Arabidopsis thaliana: one gene and its partners. The protein of the gene in region 2 interacts with the protein of the main gene of each other region in a pairwise test. Each region holds a gene or a part of one and is shown on either strand. Other genes may lie near its edges.

Region 1 (7,248 bases), about 10 Mb from region 2:
AAAGACACGACGATGATTCGTGTGAAGGAGGAGGTGAAGAAGCAGCTATGGCTTTCTGCTCCACTCATTGGTGTTAGCCTTCTTCAATACTCTCTCCAAGTCATCTCCGTCATGTTCGTTGGCCATCTTGGCTCTCTTCCTCTCTCTGCCGCCTCTATCGCCACCTCCTTTGCCTCCGTTACCGGCTTCACCTTCCTCGTACGTTTCTTCGTCCCATCTCTCACGATCCAGTCAAAAAAAAAAAAAGAGTGCATTCAATAACATAACCTTAGTTATCCTCTGTTTTGTAACTTTGTTCAAAGTTTGTGTGTATGTGAAACAGTTGGGAACAGCAAGTGCATTGGAGACACTATGTGGCCAAGCTTACGGAGCAAAACTATATGGAAAATTGGGAATTCAAATGCAGAGAGCAATGTTTGTACTTCTTATACTCTCTGTTCCTCTCTCAATCATTTGGGCTAACACAGAACAGATTCTCGTATTGGTCCATCAAGACAAGTCCATTGCAAGTGTTGCTGGCTCCTACGCTAAATACATGATCCCGAGCCTCTTCGCCTACGGACTGCTTCAATGTATCAACAGGTTCTTGCAAGCGCAGAACAATGTGTTCCCTGTCTTTGTCTGCTCTGGTATCACTACATGTCTTCATTTGCTTCTCTGTTGGTTGTTTGTGTTGAAGACTGGTTTAGGATACAGAGGAGCTGCTCTTGCTATTTCGGTCTCTTACTGGTTCAACGTCATTCTCCTCTCGTGTTATGTCAAGTTTTCGCCTTCTTGCTCGCATAGTTGGACCGGGTTTTCGAAAGAGGCTTTTCAAGAACTTTATGATTTCTCTAAAATTGCTTTTCCTTCAGCGGTCATGGTCTGGTAAGTCATCAAACATAAAATGCTGCATTGTTCAGGTTCCAGTATCTGCATTTTAATCAAATTCTGTTTGAAACAGTTTGGAGCTTTGGTCCTTCGAGCTTCTGGTTCTTGCCTCAGGCCTTCTTCCTAACCCGGTTTTAGAAACTTCGGTGCTTTCAATCTGGTAGATTTCGGTTATCTTTGTCTTATGGTACTCAGAGTTTGTGTACTTCTTCTTTATATTTGATCAACCTCATTTCTGCAACTTTTCAGTCTAAATACTTCCCTAACAATCTGGCAGATTTCGGTTGGTCTTGGTGGCGCTGCAAGGTCAGTAACAAAATGTATCCAAGAGCTCATAAAAAGAAAAATCTCATCAAACCAACCTATCTCACTTTGTGTGTTTCTGTTAACTTGCAGCATAAGGGTCTCAAACGAGTTAGGAGCAGGGAATCCACAAGTGGCAAAACTGGCTGTATATGTCATTGTAGGCATAGCAGTAGCCGAGGGAATTGTGGTTGTAACAGTTTTGTTGTCGATTCGGAAGATCTTAGGTCATGCTTTTAGCAGCGACCCGAAAATCATCGCATATGCCGCATCAATGATACCGATTGTTGCATGTGGAAACTTCCTTGATGGCTTACAATGCGTACTCTCAGGTTTTGAATGATAGAAGATTGGCTTTGGTTCCTTGTTTATATATGTCCGGTTCGAATCCTGGTCAAATAGTTTTGATTTATGGTTGCAGGGGTTGCTAGAGGATGTGGATGGCAGAAAATTGGAGCATGTGTGAATCTTGGATCATATTATCTTGTTGGAGTTCCATTAGGATTGTTACTTGGTTTCCATTTCCACATTGGTGGTCGGGTAATAATCTTAAACTCTCCTTCTCATTCTCAAGTTCAAACACAAGACTAGTTTTATAGAAACTTTTATTTTGTGGTATTTTCATATTGTAGGGGCTTTGGCTGGGAATCGTAACAGCATTGTCTGTTCAAGTGTTGTGTCTTTCCTTAGTCACTATATTCACAAACTGGGATAAAGAGGTAAAACCTTTTAACTGATCGGCTCAGTTTTATATGTATAATAACTCTGCCATAATGTGATTCTGTTTCTTGTTTTACATGATTAGGCAAAGAAAGCTACGAACAGAGTCGGATCTTCAGATGACAAAGATGGTGACGTCCAATGATCAATAAACGTCTGAGGAAAAAGCAGTTGCAAATGAGCTTAATGAGTGCTTTATTCTTGTATGCCCATATGAACTTATTGGGAATTTCTAATTGATGTGGCCGTACATTGGTCTTTAGAAAACTTTACCATTGTTACATAGTTATTGAAATTCCTTGGATGTGTTTCCATTCTCATCGAGCATTAGTGTAATGAGATCAAAAATTCATATATGTAATACACCAACGTGTTCGATACTAAAAATTCTGGACTTTAAATTGGAAATGAACGAAGAATGAGTTTGGGATCAGAGCTCTCTTCTAAACATAGGCCAAAAACAGAGATTTTTCTATGAAGGGTGTACATGATGATTAGTTAATCATCTGTGCTTTATATTCTTTATTTTAGACAGAAAGAATGATTCAAACTATTCGTCATCACTAGTTGTGATATGAAAAATTTCAGGAATTACTGAACGGAACCAACCAGTAAGAGAGATCCTATAGGCTATAGGAACCTGAAGAACGACGTCAAGAAGAAGCCTGTTACGCGATATCCTATAGGAACTCGAGATCAAGTTTCCTCTTCAGATGAGATCTATCTGCACTGCAAATCCAAAAATCAAGAATTCATCAAAAGTTTTCATTTTTTAAGCTGACCAAGAACTGACTGTAATAAAACCAATTGTTTTTACCTGGTGATGGTTGGTCGGTTTGGTGGCCGCTCAGCTAAGATGGTGAAATCTAAAGACATTGGTGCTTGTCCATCATGGCTAGCTTGTCTCATGACATCAACACTCTGGTCCTTGAAACCATTACCAGACTTTCCTCGGTCAGGCATCACTCTTCTAAACTTATGTGCTGGTGACAGCACTTTAATGGCTTCAAGTTTACTATCAGATGACTTAGCATCTTGCTTGGAAACTGGTCTTGGGAGCTTTAAAGGGTCAGTAGGTGAAGGTGCAGATGTGAAGTACCTTTAAAAAGAAATCAAGGTTTGAGAACAAAACTAAATAACCTGTTCTTATGCATTATCCATAGGGGAGATTTTTAGGTACCTGTGTTTTAGAGCCTGCTGAATCGATATTCTAGACTTGGGGTCATAGGTGAACATCTTTGACAACAAATCTAAAGCATCCTCACTAACCGTTGGGAGTAAAGAACGTAAAGAAGGAGCAGGGACAAATTGATACTCTACATAATCAGGAAGGCAGATCATGTCAGGCCACTGATCTGCTTTTGGAGTCCCAAAGGCAGCAAAGATTTTGCTTAATTGATCAATATCACTGTTTCCCTGCAATGGAATAAGTAAGTTAGATAAACAAGTAGACAGATGCACTGGATTACTACACAATCAAAATGGAGGTTCACCTGAAGAAATGGTCTGCGTAATAGAAGTTCAGCAAAAATGCAGCCAGCAGCCCAAACATCAACTGCACCATCATATTGTTTTGCACCAAACAAAAGTTCAGGTGCTCTATACCATCTAGCAAACACCTATGAAAATTGCTAAAGGACATCAAGATACGAAAGATAGCAGAACTACTACATAAATAGCATTGTCACAACAAACAAAGCATACCTGGTGGGTAAACTTACGACCTGGGCTACCAAATATACGTGCTAACCCAAAATCTGCAAGTTTCAGCTGTCCATTGGGTCCTATCAACAAGTTGTTTGGCTTCATATCTCTGAAACAAATACGAATGATCATCCATAAGTTTAAATCAAAACAGACCTTATTAGAGATAGAACAAGTTCTGCTTCTAAGTTCCAATGATAGTACCTGTGCAGAACCCATTTGCCATGGCAATATTCAAGACCTTTCAATATCATTTGGAGGTAAGATTTGACATCACCAGGCGAAAGATAGAGATTACGATCTCGGATAACTGCTTCGAGATCAGTCTCCATGAACTCAAACACGATGTGCAAATTCTCCTTGTGAGGAAACGCATCAATCAACTCAATTATATGTGGATGCTTAAGCTCTTTAAGTAATTTGATTTCTCTAAGAGCTGTTACATTCACACCTTCTTTCTCTTTACCAAGTCTTATTTTCTTGATCGCTACAGTTTCTCCATTCTACAAATTGCCACAACAAAACAAATCAGCTTCCTTATACAAACTTAAACAAAAACTACACACTTTAAATCCATTAAGAACATAAAAATGCAAACTTTGACTTCTAAGAACACATATTAGTGTAAAGATCGAAACTTTAGCTGATTTAAAACCTAAGAGCTATCAGATTTAACCAAATTGTTCCCAGGAAGAGACACGTCAAAAGACACACGACAGAATTGGAACCCTAGTTTCGATGGGATCGACAAAAAATATGAAGAATTGAGAGAGGAATCATCTTCACCTTTGTATCAGTAGCTTTGAAGACGACTCCATAAGTACCTTGACCAAGAACCTCTCGCTTTAGATACCTATCAGCAACTTTCTTCGGCTGTTCCATCTCCGGAACTCTCTAATCGGATCACAAGCAATTGATCGAAACTGATCTTAATTAATTTGTTATCGTTAACGTTGAGGTATCTTATGATGCTCTGGAGAAAAAGTAGCCGTTAGAGCAATTACAGAAGGAATCGACATTTTTAGGGGAAAATATTGAAAAGTAAACGAAAAAGGAAAGAGACGCTCTAAAGCTAGAAATAAAACGAAGCTGGAAGCGTCTATCGTAACGACGTCGTTTAAAGGTTTATAAATGAAAAGCAAAATTGTTCCGGTTTACTCAACATTGACTCGTCAATTATTCTTCGGTTTAAAATGTTATAAGTTAGTGGTTAAACAAAAGATGATTGTGAATATTAACATTTTTTTAGCTGTATGAATATTGGAACATTGCCTAAACATACTTAGAAATTAAAAAAAAAATCCAAGAAAATAAAAAGCTGCATCAACAAGTTGCCAAATTAACCTTGCTCATATTTTCCGCAGCATGGACCAGGAGAACACTACCGGATTAACTTCCGTTTCATGAAGCGTGGAATCAAGCCCAAATATAAGGCCCAAATAACTATTCCGAGAAGGTTAGACAAGCAACTGTTAACTTCTGGGCCCATATAATGGGCTCATAAGAAAGAGATGCAGCCCAATCATTAAAGTTTGCACAAATAATTAGGCTGATCAGTCCACTTTTTTTTAGGTGACCAAAGAAAACAAAGTAAGCCTAACATTTGAGTATGAACCAGAAAAATTTAGGATACTTCAGGGTCAAGTATTTTGCTAGTGAACATTTTTCATCATACAAATTTTTATTTAAACAACTCAAAAAAAAACTTACACGATGGATAAAAAAACACACTTAAAAATAAGCCATTGAATTGTGAAAGAGACGAGACTCGTGAGGGTAATAAGACAAGTTCGTTGTAATAAATCTAGCAATAGATTCTGCTCAGACAGAGAAATAATTACCTGCTTTCGTGCCCACATCATCAGACTTATAATCCTGACCGTACATCAACCTATTTCACTATTTCGTGTTGAAATTTCTAGTTGTTAGGGCTAACAAATGATTTAGAATTAGGTCACCAAACGGAAACACTTGTACATTATTTTCTAAAAGAAATAAAGAATGGTCGGCCAAATTCATTTTCAAAGTTACATCTTAAAAATGTAGTGGACTAGTAGTTGGCAGGAACGATAATAATTGTTATTTTTATTATCTTTACCCAAAAAAAAAAAGAGTGAAGCACAAAAGCCGAGAAGGACGCATGTGACGCGTAGGGAATCTAACACAAACAATGTCAGACCCTTCCCATGTCTTTTCAGATGCACCCACCTGTTCCTTTTTTTCTTTTCTTTTTATTCTTCTATCACGAATATCTAAACCACTATAATTACGACTCTCTATCTATCATTTCTTCCAAAACATGACGTGGCCTCTTCTCTCTCTCTCTTTCCTTCTCTCTAAGTATGTTTAGGGTTAATAATTAGGGTTCCTCCTCTCTTTTGTTCTGTCTTTATATCTCCTTCATAGCTCTAATGTAAGAGATTTACCTCTTTTGGTGTTTTTGTTAATCCACGTTCTCATCAAAACTTTCTCATTGTTTTATGAAGAGTTAAAGGTCTTTACAGTTTGCTTATGTCAGATCCATAATATATTTGACAAGATACTTTGTTTTTCGATAGATCTTGATCTGACGATGGAAGTAGAGCTCCTTAAAGTTCAAACATGAGTTGAGCAGGGTAAAGAAAAGCTGCTAAGCTATGGATCCCATAAGCCCTAATCCTTGTAAAGTAAAAAAGGATTTGGTTATATGGATTGCATATCTCAGGAGCTTTAACTTGCCCTTTAATGGCTTTTACTCTTCTTTGGATTGAAGGGAGCTCTACATCTTCTTTCACCTTCTCTATTTTTTATTTTTCTTTATTTCTACTCAACAATTATTTATTCGGATTCATCTTTAATTTTCCGTTATAATTTCTTTTTGGTAAGGATTATTCGCTATAATTTGAGAATTATATGGTTATTATTTTGATTCCGAAGCAATGTTTAGCGTGTTATTTGTTTTTCTTGTAAAAAACTAGGGTTTATGCAACTGCCTCGGGTAGATGAGAAGATCCTTGGTTCTTTGGAGACTTTTAAATTTTGCAATCTTTGCTGCCATATGCACTGACTATCTTTGTATGATTATTCTCATATCTAATCTAACAACTAAATCCTGTTCTACAATCACAGTCCTTTAGTTAATTGCGAAAATAGTTTTCTGTCATATATGTAAAATGATGATCGGATCGGATTTAAAGGACCAAAGATATTCACTAACTTATACGATTCATTTGTCAACTCGAGTACTTGATTCCTGTCTTTACACAATGAAGATTATAAACTTGAAGAACATTAAAAGTTAATAAAAGTTAAGATTAAGATATAAAAATAACACATATCAATAAATTGAATGTCTTTTCGGATCACCTGTAGGAGTTGGCCATATAATTTGAAATCGAACGTAAACTACAGCAAATTTTGTTATTATAGTTTGATTGATAAAGAAATGGTTTTAGGCAGAATAATTGAAACTGAACCCTAGCTAAACAATTTCTTTTAAGGGAGTCATCATGTAAACCAAATTTCACTTAAAAAAATGATGTTTTAAACATATAATTCGACAATTTTTAGTTTACTAAAAAGATTATGATTTTTGTTTGTTTTAAATTTAATATTGTTATACTTCCATAAACAAGTTACATGTGCTACAGTTGTGAGTCTCGAACTTTGAGT
Region 2 (7,061 bases):
TACTAAAGAGAGATTAAACTTGAGAAACAAGAAACAAGGGAGCTTTAGCGATGACTTGAAAAGTTTCGGTGTGAAGATCCAAAGACAAAACCATGGTTTCAACTTTCACCCTCGTGTGAACCAGTGAAGTGAGCCATCAACATACACAGGATCTTGGGTGTGAGAAACCAGATAAGGGGATGCAGGACAACGTACCTCCAAGTGTTGGTTGCAAAATCAAAAACTTCACAAGTTGTAGCGTTCTCGTTTAGGCCTAACTCAGCGGAATAAGCAAATCAAATCGAAATTATAATTAGGGTTCTACTTTACAATTTTCTCCAAAGTAAAATTACAAGTTTTAGATTAAAAAAAGATAATTATATGTAATTACTTTTTGAGATTTTTAATCAAGTAAAAAAAGGTAATTTCTCTAAATTAACACGTTTTGGAACGATTTTTTTTTTAATTTCCTTTTTTTAATTACTTGGGATTTCGTGTTCAACAAGTTATTGTTTTGGGCTTTGGTTTAATTTTCCTTTTTTTTTTAGTCTGTCTCATCTCTCATCTGAATTCTGAAACCTGGTTGTTTTAGGATAGAGTCTTCTACTCTATATATAGGACTTAGTGTAAGATTTATTGTTGTTCTTTCGAAGATGTGTTCTTGTTTTTCGATAAATATGGTGTCTAAGAAAGATAAACAGATTCATTCCGACCATAACCCTCAAGATGCTTCCCCGGTAGAGTGGGCGGAAATTCGACATAAGCTACTTGCGTTTCAAGAGAACATTCAATCAGGCTCTGACATTGACGCTAGGTCTGATGATCCACAGATGTGTGGACTTTATGTCTCAGATATCTACGAGTATCTCCGTGAATTAGAGGTACGTAATAAGATCTCCTACTTGCTCTGTTTTTGGACTTAGAACATTGACAAGTTTCAATAGGTCAATTTAGTATACTTTATCTGAAGAGTTTCTATGATTGTTCTCTGTTTGGACTTAGAATTTGTGGATATGTTCTGAAGATTTGTGTTTTTGGTTTGGTGAATATTCAGGTGAAGCCAAAGCTAAGACCTTTACATGATTACATTGAAAAGATTCAAGAAGATATAACACCAAGCAAGAGAGGTGTTTTGGTAGATTGGTTAGTGGAAGTTGCTGAAGAGTTCGAACTCGTGTCTGAAACACTCTATCTCACTGTCTCTTACATTGATAGATTCTTGTCATTAAAGATGGTTAACGAGCACTGGCTTCAGCTTGTGGGAGTTTCTGCAATGTTTATCGCTTCGTAAGTGTTTTTGATCCTCTTGTATTACTCTCTTTGCTATTCATTGTCATGTTGAAACTTACATATGGAGTGGCTTCTCTTTTTTGGCATTTGATATAAATAGGAAGTATGAAGAGAAACGTCGCCCTAAAGTGGAGGATTTTTGTTACATTACGGCTAATACTTATACGAAACAAGATGTGTTGAAGATGGAAGAGGATATACTTCTCGCGCTTGAGTTTGAACTAGGAAGGCCTACGACAAATACTTTTCTAAGGTTAGAATTGTGATGAATAATACTGACTTTTGGTTGTATCTTATGGTTCTTTGTTCTCATCTTTTGTTGTGTTTGTGCAGACGGTTCATAAGGGTTGCACAAGAAGATTTCAAAGTGCCAAACTTGCAGCTAGAGCCTCTTTGTTGCTATCTGTCAGAACTAAGTATGTTAGATTATAGTTGTGTGAAGTTTGTTCCATCTTTGTTGGCTGCTTCTGCTGTCTTTCTCGCTCGATTCATCATCCTTCCTAACCAACATCCTTGGGTAAGAACTTTTGTCTCAATCTCTCTTTTTCAGGTTTATATGTTGAGTTAATCTTTTGAATGAGACACTAATAATCTATGGCTTGTAATGTAAAACAGAGTCAAATGTTGGAAGAATGCACAAAGTACAAAGCGGCTGATCTACAAGTGTGTGTGGAGATCATGCTTGACTTGTACCTGAGCAGAAGTGAAGGTGCTTCAAAAGCTGTTAGAGAGAAATACAAGCAACATAAGGTAATTGACATATTACAAATTATGAAATCATTTGATTTAATTAGTAGTATCATTTATACTTAAATGTTGCTTTTTATGGTACAGTTCCAATACGTTGCGGCAATTCCTGTCTACCAAGAGCTTCCGGTTACCTTTTGGGAGGATGTTGTTACCATTTGATCAGAACCAATCTTTCATTTCCCAATTGTTACTGAGCTCGATTACTAAGGGACACTGATCAACAGTTGAAGCTAGAGGAGTCATATGTTATATGTATCGAAGTGAAGCAGGAGCAAATAATTTGTGTTGTGAAGATGTATTGTGTTATTACTTGATTAACATTGTGGTGACAAATTAATGTGTTACTCTGGAAATTTATACGATTATGCAATATGATAAGAAGTATTTTATGTGACATGATTTTATTTGTTTAATCATTGAGCCTCCTATGACAAAATTTATAAGTTCCTAGAAGGCCAAAACTTTAGTAGTCAATAATTTACTTCAAATGGTATCGAAACCAGATGAATGGGAAGACATGACAAGATAAGCCTTTAGACTTGCTATGATCCTTGACAAAAACAAAACAAAACAGAAATTGTTCATTTAAGTCAATAAAAAGGCAATTTCTACAAGTGAACCCTTATTGGAAAGATTATTTGGTAGAATTGGTCTGGTCATTTCCAACATACGTTTATTAGATAATAACAGATAGGCGGATCATATAAGATAGAGTTGTCAAATCGGGGTGTCCATGTCCATTAGCCCAATCCAATAATGTCTATTTTGATATTGGACGAACATAGTCCGTATCCATTAACACCTTTGTCCAATCCAATAATGTCCATTTTAATATTCGATTTTTCCTCAAATCGATTTAACCTAACATTATAAGACTATTGGGCCGCCCATGTCCATCATATCTACTCTGCTAAAGTTCATATCCGTTAACGACTATAACCATTAAAGCCCGTTTTATAATGGCTTTATCCATGACTCGGTCCATTAAGTATTGGACGCAGGCAGCCCACGGGCCGCACACCCATTTTGACAACTCTAATATAAGATAAGTGTCCGTTGGTGTCAATTATTTTTGTTAAATTAATAGCTGAATTTGTCGAAAAAATTATATAGGAAATGGTGTTAAATGAATTCCTAGTTCAATGATTTTTTTTTATTATTGTTTAGACAAAATATTTTCATATGGTTTAGTGGATTTATTTTTCTGTATCCAAAAAAAAATCAAAAATGTAAAACTAAACCCAAAAAAAGTATAAAAAAAAAACAAATGCAAAACCGATTTTTTTTTAAATTTTTTAAAAGCATCTCACTTAATTCCGAATCTTAACCAAAACCGAAAAAAAAACAAATCAACTACTAATAATTTCCTTAATTAAAAGCATTCATTGATTGTTATTTTCATCTTTAATTAAGTGAATAAAACAATAATGATTGTCTAAATATAGGAGTGAAACTTTTTGAAGGGTAAAAAGGAGAAAACAGCCGCCAAATAAATGTGGAAATGAAATCTGCAAAAAAGCCCCAAATTTTGGATACTCAAAAGTCAAATCCCTAAAAATTTCGAAATCGGAAAATTTACACAGAGAAGCGCCATGACCTAAAAATCTCAAAACTTCCCCAACAAAAATGGCGCTTTTACTCAACCCATTTCCTTTTACCTACCTTGTACATTACCCCTTTTCTCAAATCTCACTTTCCCACTGAAATAACCCCATGGCGGAGAATCAGAACTGTGCGAGGATGACGAGAGCGGCGGCGAAACGAAAAGCGTCGTCCATGGCGTTAGACGAAAACCCAGTTAGTAAGAAGAGAGTTGTTCTCGGAGAGCTTCCGAATATGTCCAATGTCGTTGCTGTACCCAATCAAGAAAGAGAGACCCTTAAGGCTAAAACAAGTGTTAATACCTCGAAGAGGCAGATGAAGAAGGCTTTGATGATTCCTGAAGCTAGCGTACTAATCGAATCGAGATCTGTTGATCCTCAGATGTGTGAGCCTTTTGCTAGTGATATTTGTGCTTATCTCCGTGAAATGGAGGTAAAAAAAAAATCATCTTTAGTAGATTTCTTGATTCCATCATTTTTGATCTTAGTGATCTTATGGTATCAGTTTATGTTATTTTGGAATTGGTACAGTGTTGGACTTGATATTGATTAATGGGTTTGGTTAAAGTTGTGGATTTGATAAGTTTCTGAGATTTTGTCCAATCACAGCTTGCTCTTATGGTTATATGATATGTTTGGAGAAATTAGAGATGATTGATACTTTGGGACTAATGGTTATTGTTTTTGGATTGGTAAAATTTTCAGGGGAAGCCGAAACATAGACCACTACCTGATTATATTGAAAAGGTTCAGAGTGATTTAACTCCACACATGAGAGCGGTTTTGGTGGATTGGTTAGTGGAGGTTGCTGAGGAGTACAAGCTTGTTTCGGATACGCTTTATCTCACTATCTCCTATGTTGATAGATTCTTGTCTGTGAAGCCTATTAACAGGCAGAAGCTTCAGCTTGTGGGAGTTTCTGCAATGCTTATTGCGTCGTAAGCATCTTAATCCTCTTTGTTTATTGTTGTGTTGGTGTGAAGAGTCTTAGATGGTTGGCTTATGGAATCTTTATTTTTGCTTTTAAAAAAGTAGGAAATATGAAGAGATAGGTCCTCCTAAAGTTGAAGATTTTTGTTACATTACGGATAATACATTTACTAAACAAGAAGTGGTGTCGATGGAGGCGGATATACTTCTTGCTCTGCAGTTTGAATTAGGAAGCCCAACCATCAAAACATTCCTAAGGTTCGACTCTGAAACAGTCTGGTGTTTAAACTTATGATTTCATGGTTTTACTTGCCCTTGTTTTGATTGTTATTCTCTTTTTTATGTCGTGTTTGTGCAGACGGTTTACACGGGTTGCACAAGAAGATTTCAAAGTAAGCTCAAAATCGATGTACCTGTAAACTGTGGCATTTGCATCTCATAATTTCTATTGTTAAATCTTCTTTTTTTTCATGCCTTTGCAGGACTCACAATTGCAGATAGAGTTCCTTTGTTGCTATCTATCAGAATTGAGTATGTTAGATTACACCTGTGTGAAGTATTTGCCATCTCTTTTGTCTGCTTCAGCTGTATTTCTTGCCCGGTTCATCATCCGTCCAAAACAACATCCTTGGGTAAGCAAATTAAGAACCATGACAGGTTCTTATACAGAAAAAGTTCTTTATATTCTAAATCCTCTTCTGGTGATGCAAACAGAATCAAATGCTAGAAGAATACACAAAGTACAAAGCAGCTGATCTACAAGTGTGCGTGGGTATCATACATGACTTGTATCTAAGCAGAAGAGGAAACACTCTAGAAGCTGTTAGAAATAAGTACAAGCAACACAAGGTAAATTCAACAATTCAATGATGTAACTTTAAACTTGTGATATATTGCAACAAGAACATTCTAATATCTGATTCTCTTGGTACAGTACAAGTGCGTTGCGACCATGCCTGTTTCACCGGAGCTACCTCTTGCTTTCTTTGAAGATATTACCATTAGAGGAATGGCGTAAAAGAAGCTTGAAGCTTATGTATTGGAAGTGTTAGTTACCTGAATTTTGGGTTGTATATATCTGTTAGAATGGCAGATTAGTATTGAGTATTATCTCTTTTAGCGTATGTTCAATGATTTTTGCTAACACTAGTTAAGAAACTTTTTTTTTTTTGCTTGACCATTTTTTCAATGGTTTATTAGATTTTTATTGATTTGTTTTCTGCTTTTTTCTATGATGTAAAAGCCTCTTTAAATCATATTGGAATGTGCACATCCTCTTAACAAAAACAAAAAAGTACAACAAAGACTTTGCCACTACATATTTGTGATGTTAACATTCACAAAAAGCTAAGCTAACTCTTATCACCACTTTGGCGTTTCAATATGTATAAGACTATAGTGGATGAAGTTTGTTTACTGTATCTTCTTGACATGTAACAAATGGTCTTGAGGGCAGTTATTTTTGTGCAGCTACTAGCTATTGGAGACGGACACTCTTTTGGGAAGTTCTATGGAAGAGGATGACCAAGGAGAAGGAAAAAAGTTGCTGTGTGAAATGAGGTACACTATAAAGGCGATATAAGCAGTCGTCCAGACGCAGACCGTAACTCCAAACAGAAACCCGTCGACTTCTGATACAAAGAAATCCAACAGAAGATACCCATTGATGATCATTACAAGTGCAGCCACAGTCCAAGCTATTCTCTGCAATGTAATCAATAAATCCAATCAACTTACAAATACTCACTCTTCATGCTTCTCTATTCCATTGAAGGACTTTCAATTCTACATGTTTACTAAGATAATTGCACAAACAGTGAAACTAAAAAAGTCGAGACACCTAAAACGATAAGACTCAACACTAATTCACCTATTGTGGTATCCTATGGAGACTTGTAGTAAAAGAAGTGGAAATTTACCTGGAGAATAGGCCCAATCTTGAAGTCTCCCATAATTTCTTCTTTGGATACCAAGGTTAGAAGAGGGAGAAGAGCAAAAGGAATTTGTACAGACTGAAGGACATTGAGCCATTCATTCAAAACATCCAAGGAAGCTTCAGAAGTATTGAACACGATTGCCACAATCATTGTAGGCACAATAGCACAGCTTCTTGTTATTACTGCCCTCATCCATTTCTTAAGCCGGAGATTCAGAAAACCGCCCATTATAAACTGTCCAGCATATGTACCAGTTATCGTACTGCTTTGTCCGGCTGCTAACAACCCGATACCCCAGATATAAAGAATCGGAAGAAGCCCGCCTCCAAACTTTTCTTGAAGATACTGACCAGCATTAACTAGGCCAATGTTATTAGCTTTCTCAGTTCCATAAAACCCCTTTGCAAAGACAGTAGTCACAAACAAGTTAATCATGAAGGAGATGAAAAGTGCGACGGATGACTCGATCAAATAGTAATTAAGCGCTTCTTGAACCCGGGATTTCCTCTTCGGATCGATTTTCCTCGATTGTACAAGAGCCGAATGCAAAAACACATTGTGAGGCATTATAACA
Region 3 (8,970 bases), 8.0 Mb from region 2:
TCCCAAATCACACCGCTAACTAAATGCCAAATCCCTCGATTCCTGGATTTATTTCTTCAAATTAAAAAATTCAATTTTCAGATCAATCGGAGAAATGAATCATAACCGTCGATATCACGAGAGTCTTCTGATTCTGTAGATGGCGATTTCAAATGAGATCGAAACCGCCATTAACGAGACCTTCCATAAACGTATCATCAAACTCTGATGGAGAGTCAGCAACAACAATCACCGGCCGTTGAAACGCCTTTGTTGCTCAATTCTAATCAGGATCATCAAGACCGACCTTCGCCGGAAATCGACGGCGGCGGTGGCGGCGGAGGAGGAGAAGGTGTTAACGACGATCTAGACCGAACGCTAGAATGGTTAGAGACGTTTTTGACGCTCCTTGGGTTTAATCAATCGTCTAAACAAAGCCTTGTTCTGTCTTGGATCGTGTTTTTATCGATTGGTTTGGTGCTTCCGGTGACAGTGTTGGAGCTAGGTCATTGTTTAGGGTGTGAGAGATATCAGTACAAGAGTTTCGAGCTCAACATCGTTGTTTCGCAGGCGTTGTTAGCTGGTGTTTCTCTGCTTTGCGTTTCTCATAATTTGAGAAAACATGGGATTCGAAAGTTTTTGTTTGTTGATCAACTTAGTGGTCGAATGGATCGTCTCAAAGCTCAATACATTCAACAAATCTTGGTGATTTATTCTACTTTCTCTTCGTTTTTGAGATTGCAATGTGATGATGATACTTACTTCAAAGTTTGTATCTTTCTTATTGTGTTGCAGAACTCTGTAAGATTGCTTGCAGTTTGGTCACTTCCATGTTTTGCTTTGAAGGGTGTTCGTGAGATCATCAGAATGTATTATGTGCCTCATGACCAGCCATGGTTATCTGTTGCAATTCTCTTGTCTATGATCTTGTCGTGGACTTACTTAAGCACTATCTTTCTAGCTGCAAGTGCTATGTTTCATTTAGTATGTAACTTGCAAGTTATTCACTTTGAAGATTATGCAAAGCTTTTAGAAGGGGAGTCTGAAATCTCTCTTTTCATCTATGAGCATATGCGTTTGCGTCATTATCTTTCGAAAATAAGCCATAGGTTCCGCATCTTTCTGCTTCTACAGTTTCTGGTTGTCACAGCTAGCCAGTTTACTACGCTTTTTCAGACCACTGCGTATAGTGGGCGTATCACTTATATAAACGGTGGTGATTTTGCAGTAAGTCTTCTTCTTATTCACTGATTGTTATGTTCTTATGTGGTGAGCTTAAGCTTGGAACATGATATGTTTTCAGGTCTCTGCGGTTGTCCAAGTTGTTGGAATCATTTTGTGTCTACACGCAGCAACAAAAATATCACACAGAGCTCAAGCAATAGCATCAGTTGCAAGTAGATGGCATGCGATGATGTCTTGCTCGTCTACAGATTCAACTCAGATAAGGGCATCTCCTAGTGGAGTTCATTTGGAGGCTACCACGAATCCGCCCATCTCCTTTCCGATTTCCCGTTCAGATAGTGATGTGGAATCAATGGATCACTACATGAGGATGCCTGTTACTAACCAGTTTCCTTCTTATATGTCCATGTCCTCATATCACAAACGACAAGCTTTCGGTGAGATTTGTTTCGCCCTTTTTTACTTGTACCTTTACAGCTAAACTCAGATATGATGATAGCTAATTAGATGATATGTTGCAGTGTTGTATTTGCAGATGAATCCAGGCGGGATAACGATATTCGGGTGGACAGTAGACAGGCATTTGATAAACACAATATTCTTCATTGAGCTCTCTCTAGTTACTTTTGTACTCGGCAAGACTGTAGTTTTCGGTACTGAATGACCAAAAAAAAAAAGGGTTGGTGTATCATGCATTATTGCATAGCTTTTTTACCTTCTGCCATATAGTGAGATTCTTCAATTGATAGGAGAAGATATACTTACATGAGCGTCTCTTAACTTTTTTTTTTTTTTTTTTTCCCGCGAGCCTCTCTTAACTTGGTTACGTGAAGAGTGTACAAAGCTATATTGTACTAGATGGAGGAGGAGTTTCTTGATCTTGATCCTGTTGTTGGACTCGTCGTTTTTGTAAAATCCATACTTGTTCACTCTCAAAATATGTCCGAACATTTGGATTTTTTATAAATAATATCATATTTTATGGCAATTTGCAAATTTATAACATATGGAGTAAATTGTAAATTATATAATTAAAAGGTATTAGTATATAAATAGAAATAGAATATTTCTAAAAATATTCTTTTTTAGACTAGAAAATAGAAATATACATTGGAGAGAAAGCAACTCTATTTTAGAGTAAGATATAGAGCTATACATTGGAGATTGTCTTACAAAACAAGCACTGTCAGAAAGCCATAGCACTAACTGGCCAGCCTAGCTTGTGAACACATTAAACCTGCAAGGATTCTCAGTGGCGAAAGGAGGAAAATCATCTTCACAAATCACCACGGACCCTCAAAGTGAATAAAGAAAGCATGAATGATATTCTGAGATACAAATATTCCAACCTCCGCTTAAGCAGCAGCCCTCGCCTAAAATGTGGTAATTCCAAGGTATTTGAGAATATCAAGGTTGTATTCCAACTGCTATCTTCGACCGGTGTGCTGTACTTCAGCCAAACAGACCGCCAGACCCAAGTTCGGTTTGCGTTAATTCCTTCCTACGTTGCTCTTCCAAAGGATCAGGGCTCTTTACCATTCTCCTCCCACGCCTAGGCATAGAAGAAAAAGTAAGAGACAGAATTAAAGTCAACCACTGATCGTTTCAGTTTAGATAGACCTCAGTACCTGTCTTGGGCATGTTGAGCAGGAAAAGTAGGCATGAAATCTTTGGATTTTGGCAGAGGGACTTCGCGGAACCAATCATGCTTTAGAGCTTCATTAACAGTTATTCTCTGCAGAAGAAGCCACAGAGATCCAAAAGTCAAGGAACAATTAAGGTGCATACTGGATTAACATGCATGCAACAGATATATATTTTCTATTACCCTTTCAGGATCGTACGTTAGGAGCTTGTTCAGTAAGTCAAACCCAGCATCGGACAGAACTGGTGCACCAGTGAACGAAGTGGCTGGGAATTTCTTACGTAATAGGTTATACCTAAAAGTACAGGTAAGCGGTGAGAAGAGTGACATAACAACTATGAAAACAATATAAATCCACTAATGAGTCAGAGAGCCACACCACATCATCTAAAGCTAGAAAGCCTGGGAACAATATTAGAGACTTTAAGCATATACTAAGGTTATCCTTCCATATAAACTGAAAATAAAAGGAACTATAAATACTTACTGATGCTTGACAAAGTTGACCTTGACTCCAGGTAGTTTAGAGAACCCAGGCCAAATAGATTCATTGGGAGTACCAAGGATTCTGAAAATCTGTAAATTAAAGAAGGAGTAATTTATAAGCTGTATGTGGTCCCAGGATGGCTGGAGATCCAAATCAAAACCGATGTTTAAAATACCTTGTCAAGTTGATCAAACTCCGTTTTCCCATTGAACAATGGCGCCTTCATTAATAGTTCTGCCATGATACAGCCCAGTGACCACATGTCAATGGCTGTAGAATATTGTTTTGCTCCCAAGAGAAGTTCAGGTGCCCTGGAAAAACAAATGCAGTCGTTGGGCTTGGTCCCGGAGGAAGTGATTATTGCTAAAACAAGAAGGGAGAGTCAACACAAGGAACAAAACAAGTCAAGGAAGTTGAAGCACGTATATTTCCTAATGTGCCCAGATTACGTTGGTTCATGGTACGTGGTGTCCAAGCAAATACCGCAAAAGTGTTAAGTATTTAATGGCTAAGCTGGCATATTATGAAGACTATTCTCAAAGAGGAAAGATAAGGATCCAAGGCAGTCACAAAACTCAAGTTTGTGGTGCCATTGGAACAAATATCAGATACCTTGGAACACCATTTAAAAACAGGACTTTAAAATCATTGATCCTAATGTGCAGAAATAGAAAAGGGAGTACGGTGTAGTACAGCTATACCAGAAAGGAGACGTGGCACCTAATGTTATACTAACAATGGCCAAAAAAAAACAAGAAAGTCCACCAGAATTCAAATAACAATCGTAAATGTAAACACCACTTAATTTTTTTATAAACAAGAATAGGGTAAAAACGCACTTTACCTGTACCAAAGCGTAACAACCAGATGAGTATAAGGCTTGAGCGGGCTGCCATATTGCCGAGCCAAACCAAAGTCACATATCTTCAACTCACCCCGATTGTTTAAAAGCAGGTTAGATGTTTTCAAATCTCGATGAAGCACCCAGTTGTCGTGAAGATACTTGACGCCCTCTAAAAGTTGAAGCATTAAGCACTTAACTTCACTTTGACTAAAACGCTGCTTCATTGTCTCCATCAATGCTTTAAGATCATGTTCCATGTATTCCATCACCATGAATATGCTATCAAGGCTGCTACCCACGACCACCTCTTTAACATCCACTATTGATGGATGATGAAAAGAAAGGAGGATGTTAATTTCCCTAAGAGAAGTCAATGGAAAACCTTCTCTTTCTTTTTCCATCTTCACCTTCTTCAATGCCACAATTTCGCCTGTCTTCTTATCCTTTGCTCTATAAACAACACCATAAGTACCTTCATCGATCTTATTTAACCTCTCAAATTCATCAACACTTCTACAACCCTGGAGCATGTTTATACTTCTCAGTGGAGTACTGGCAGGTTCAGGTGTCTCATGCCGTACATATTCGTCATCTGAATCTGTTTCACTAAGGCTGTCAACAGAGTTTTCTCTTCTGTGTTCCTCCTCATCTATTTCCATCTTGTCACTCTTAACAGCATCTCTCTCCTCAAAATCATCTCTGCTTCCCGGTAAAGAATGGTGCCCCCTTTCATCGGAATCAGATGATCTATAACCTTCCCTCACTAACTCCCCGACCTCAGGTGTTTGAGAGGTATTGCGAAATCTCCCCTGCACGGGAAATGGTTTCTTCCTCCTTTTCTTTTCCCCAACTTCTTCTACTATTTCAACTTCATCAGTTGGAGAACTATTACCAGCAGCCCACCTAGAGGATGATATATGCCGTGTTGGCATGTTTTCATCCTCTTCCAGGTGTGTTGCATGCTCTTGTTTGTCATCCTGCTCAGCATTTGATGACTGTTCTACCACACACAAAGAGGACATCTCTACCGAAGGTGACAAAGCAGGCATAGAAACCGCAGAAACACCAACTTCCACAGGATCTTGATGCATGTCACTCTTTGCAGGTGAATAATGAGAATTACCACCACAACTGACACTAGGTGACTGGCTTGACCTCTTAACTAGTGGTGGTGGGGGAGGAAGAGGAGTGACCTCCACAGGTTTTTCATTTCTGCTCAAATTACTTCTCTCATGGTCATCCCTATCCCATACTATTGGTGAAAACTTTCTCTTCTTTTCCACAGGACTTTGAGCTCTATTCTCTACCTCCTTCACAACTCCATTAACTTTCGCCAGTGATTCCGACTCAATCAAATCATCCGACCCACTCTCACTAGAGAGCTCGCCTGGTTCCCTGTCCACAGACCTAGCTGAAAACCCGCATCTTTTAGGACCAAGATCGATAAATACTTCTCTACTACCTGGATTGCTCTTCGATAACCGAAACCCACTACTAACCATTTTGTTCTCTTCCTGTCTAGCTCCAGACTTAATTCTATCTCTATCCCCGTGTCTTAGATTACTAACCCGTCCCTTTCCATTATCAATAGCACCGTTCCTAACATGATTATAATCCTCGTTCGCATAAGCACTATCCCGCCTGGAAAATCTAGAATTCGATTCCTGGTCTCTCAGTTCATGGTCTGGATATCTTATATTCCTCCCAGCCGCCATACAGAACTTCGGTGAGAAAGGGACCCAAACAAACCCAAAATCCTAATTTGACGAACTCTTAAATCTGCTACTAGCTAGCTGTGTTCAAAATCAGAATTGCAGAGACTAAACCTTGAGATTTCAAAAGTTGAATTACGCACCGATTTAACAGCTACTTGCGATCAAATCGCTTACAATTGAAGCAGAACTTGTGATCAGAACCGCGAAACCCTAGAAACCGAAAGCGAGACCCGTGGATACGGAGGAAGAGAGGACGAAACGAGAAGAGAACTCAGAATTGGAAAGTGAAAATACGATTGATAAGGAGTTCGTAAAGTTCCGATTGACGACGGGTGGATATAGATTACCGTGGAGAGGGAACGAACAATGGCGGAGAGAGAGAGAGAGAAGAAAGTTTCTCGTCGAAAGCTCAAAGCTTTAGGTCTCTAAAATCGTGTTTTTGTATTCGCCCCCTCTATTTTATTGTTTTAGTATAAGGAGCCCCTTGATGAAAAAAAAAAAGGTATAAGGAGCCCCTAACTTTTGTAATTAATCAATGTGTTTCTTTTTATTTTTATCTCTAAAATATTTTAAAACTTCTACGACAATATTATTGAAACCAAAAATATATTTATTTATTTAAATTTAACATGTTATGGTCTTGAGTTTTTTTTTTGGTAGGCTGTTATTGTTTGAGTTTTTATCGTGAGATTTTACCATCAAATTGGCAAAACAATTTTATTTTCGTGGGATAGTCACACGACTCACACCCAAAATTAATCGAATTATTGTCATCTTAACCACAAAGACTATTATCTTGAAAGTCGATGTTGGAGCACTTGGAACATAAGAACAATCTCATTGATGATTTCTAAACATAAGTCTTTTATTTTAAAGAAAGAAAATTTATTATAAAAGAATGTGTGGGCTTTTTGATTAGTGAAAAAGTCATCTCTAAAATACCTTATATAGGAAATTTTGGAGAGAATTTCTTAACTATTCAAGAAACTCACATAGTTAGATAATATTATTTTTGTTGTTTTAATGTTAAGAAACTTATATCTAGAAACCACAAATAAAATTGCTCTAAGACATGAAAACCTTAATATTACCATCAAATCATTTAAATCAAAAAACATATGTTAATTTTTGGAGTCATGTTAACTTTGATAATTATGTACCTAATATTGCCGAAGGCCAGTCAAAACTAAAATGTCTAATTTCAATGTCCGAAAAAATGATTGTCACGGTTTGTGGCTGCATAATGTTTAGGGGACCACATAAACCGTTTTAGAACATTATGAATATTCATAATCTCTCAATCACGAACTAATCATTTCTCTTCTTGTTTGTGTTCATGACTAGCTTGGTCGAAACATATGAGTCATCTTTCATTCTAGACTTCAATTTTTTTGCTCTTTACAAAATTTGACAATCAAAATCACTATCAAGTACTAGTACTATTCCATCATATCTGAGATTATCTTTATTTGATTTGTGTGGATGTCGTAATCCGCAATTAGAATTTTGTGGTTGTTTCGTGAAGGTCTTAAATCTTGTTAGACGAACAGTGATCAAGTGAAAAGTATTTATGTATTTCAGTATAGTTTCAGTACAATGTGTATCCCCTTTTACAATGTCAATTGACTCTTATTTATACAAATACATCGAATCAAACGAGTTAAATGATTCGCTGACTTCACGCCGCGGATCTCGCCTCATTAACTTCGCACGTTACGAGTCGTCAGCTCGGATCGTAAATGCTTATCATTTAAGTTGAGATTCCTCCGTTACCAAATTAATGTCGGATCAACCTTTGAACTGCTGGGCTTACATTGTGCCTTAAAGCCGGGCCTGACCTTATCTTAGAAGCCCAAAATTGCGGGGTCGGGCCAAATGCGAGATCAGACATCTGGTAAAAAGCCCAAAACTTTTGCTTTACCGGTCACATCAAAGATTATGAGTTTCCCCAAATGTGTTTGTGTCAATTAAAAGGTTAGCGACATAGTTTTAAGTGAAGTTAGCAATTAAAGTGCGGATAGTTGGCCACTCGTGGGACCTTGATTAACTTTGAGAGTTCTTGGCTCAATTTCTTTTATCTACTTCCCCAAACAAAACTTTTTTTTTTTTTTTTGCGTTAGTTATTGAATATCACTAAATCCATACGATTACATTCTAATGAAAATAGACAATTATTGACACCAACAACGAGAGGGAAGCTTAAAGGAGAAAGAAAAAGAAGAAGGCAAGTGACCACTCCTCCTTATATAATCAGCTTTCTCCGATGTCTTCACCGCCTTTTCGTTTAACTTAGCCTCCGCATTCGCCCTCCTCTCTTCCGCTATCCTTTTCGTCGCAGCTAGCTTGTTGGCCAACTTCTCCTCTGCCCTTGCTTTCATCCTCTCCGCCTTCACCTAAACACACGTTCACACATTGTTTTAAAACCTTTTCAATCCATAACGTTATTTTTCTCTTTAACAATTAATAGATCCAATCCATATCAAACCAATCCACACTACTTTGTCTTTTAAAAAACTAAAAAAAGACTGAACCGAAATTCGGATTGAACACGTGTTGACAACTCTCTTTCCACAATTAGACAGAACATCTTACCTCCATTTTCTTCATCTCCATCTCAGCCTTTCTCTTCTCGTGATTCTCCCAAGCTTGTATCTTCACTTCCTCTCTCTTATACCTAATTCCACACAAAAAAAAAAAACTCTCAAACACGAATCACATTAACACATATTAAAATCAACCATAAATTTAACCAATTAACGTTAATCACCTAGCCATGAATTTAGCACGTTCTGCTTCATCCCAAGCCATGGCTCGAGCTTCCATAGCACTCATAGCCTTCTTACTCTCCACAAAACCATTAACCTTCTCACTATTATTACTCTCTACCCTCCTAACCTCCGTCACCGTCTCCATCACAACCCCCACCGCCTCACCACGTTGTGAAGCCCTCACCGGTGAAGTCACAGGACTCCTCCCAACCGGTGTAGTAGCTCGCACCGGTGTAGCTGTTCTAGAAGGCTCTTGACTACCAATAGGAGTCATCTCAGTCCCCATATCTCTCACACAAACGGATCTAATCACAGCCGTTGGATTAATACTACTTTCTTTCCTCCAA

What was found. The genes of interacting proteins can lie anywhere in the genome.
Region 1: the proteins of CYCA3;4 (region 2) and CDKD1;1 interact in a protein complementation assay, tested with the Arabidopsis thaliana proteins (one large-scale study listed by BioGRID).
Region 3: the proteins of CYCA3;4 (region 2) and AT1G67580 interact in a protein complementation assay, tested with the Arabidopsis thaliana proteins (one large-scale study listed by BioGRID).

The regions. Positions count from the first base shown.
Region 1 is NC_003070.9:27,712,344-27,719,591, reverse strand, and holds CDKD1;1 (cyclin-dependent kinase D1;1), read right to left. Parts: upstream 4,683-7,248; 5' UTR 4,480-4,682; coding exon 4,384-4,479; intron 4,101-4,383; coding exon 3,802-4,100; intron 3,707-3,801; coding exon 3,598-3,706; intron 3,513-3,597; coding exon 3,387-3,512; intron 3,310-3,386; coding exon 3,074-3,309; intron 2,993-3,073; coding exon 2,711-2,992; intron 2,623-2,710; coding exon 2,574-2,622; 3' UTR 2,172-2,573; downstream 1-2,171. Other genes in the region: AT1G73700 (MATE efflux family protein), read left to right, coding at 1-198, 323-867, 944-1,030, 1,120-1,176, 1,267-1,505, 1,595-1,713, 1,806-1,892, 1,979-2,038.
Region 2 is NC_003070.9:17,303,020-17,310,080, forward strand, and holds CYCA3;4 (CYCLIN A3;4), read left to right. Parts: upstream 1-3,557; 5' UTR 3,558-3,732; coding exon 3,733-4,053; intron 4,054-4,325; coding exon 4,326-4,558; intron 4,559-4,652; coding exon 4,653-4,808; intron 4,809-4,908; coding exon 4,909-4,942; intron 4,943-5,032; coding exon 5,033-5,182; intron 5,183-5,264; coding exon 5,265-5,399; intron 5,400-5,484; coding exon 5,485-5,568; 3' UTR 5,569-5,829; downstream 5,830-7,061. Other genes in the region: CYCA3;3 (Cyclin A3;3), read left to right, coding at 657-860, 1,034-1,266, 1,370-1,522, 1,603-1,786, 1,885-2,019, 2,104-2,178; NRAMP2 (NRAMP metal ion transporter 2), read right to left, coding at 6,024-6,254, 6,470-7,061.
Region 3 is NC_003070.9:25,325,111-25,334,080, forward strand, and holds AT1G67580 (Protein kinase superfamily protein), read right to left. Parts: upstream 6,352-8,970; 5' UTR 5,856-6,351; coding exon 4,141-5,855; intron 3,608-4,140; coding exon 3,472-3,607; intron 3,386-3,471; coding exon 3,297-3,385; intron 3,105-3,296; coding exon 2,993-3,104; intron 2,900-2,992; coding exon 2,793-2,899; intron 2,717-2,792; coding exon 2,617-2,716; 3' UTR 2,172-2,616; downstream 1-2,171. Other genes in the region: AT1G67570 (zinc finger CONSTANS-like protein (DUF3537)), read left to right, coding at 208-684, 775-1,206, 1,283-1,601, 1,686-1,828; AT1G67590 (Remorin family protein), read right to left, coding at 8,027-8,248, 8,448-8,529, 8,623-8,970.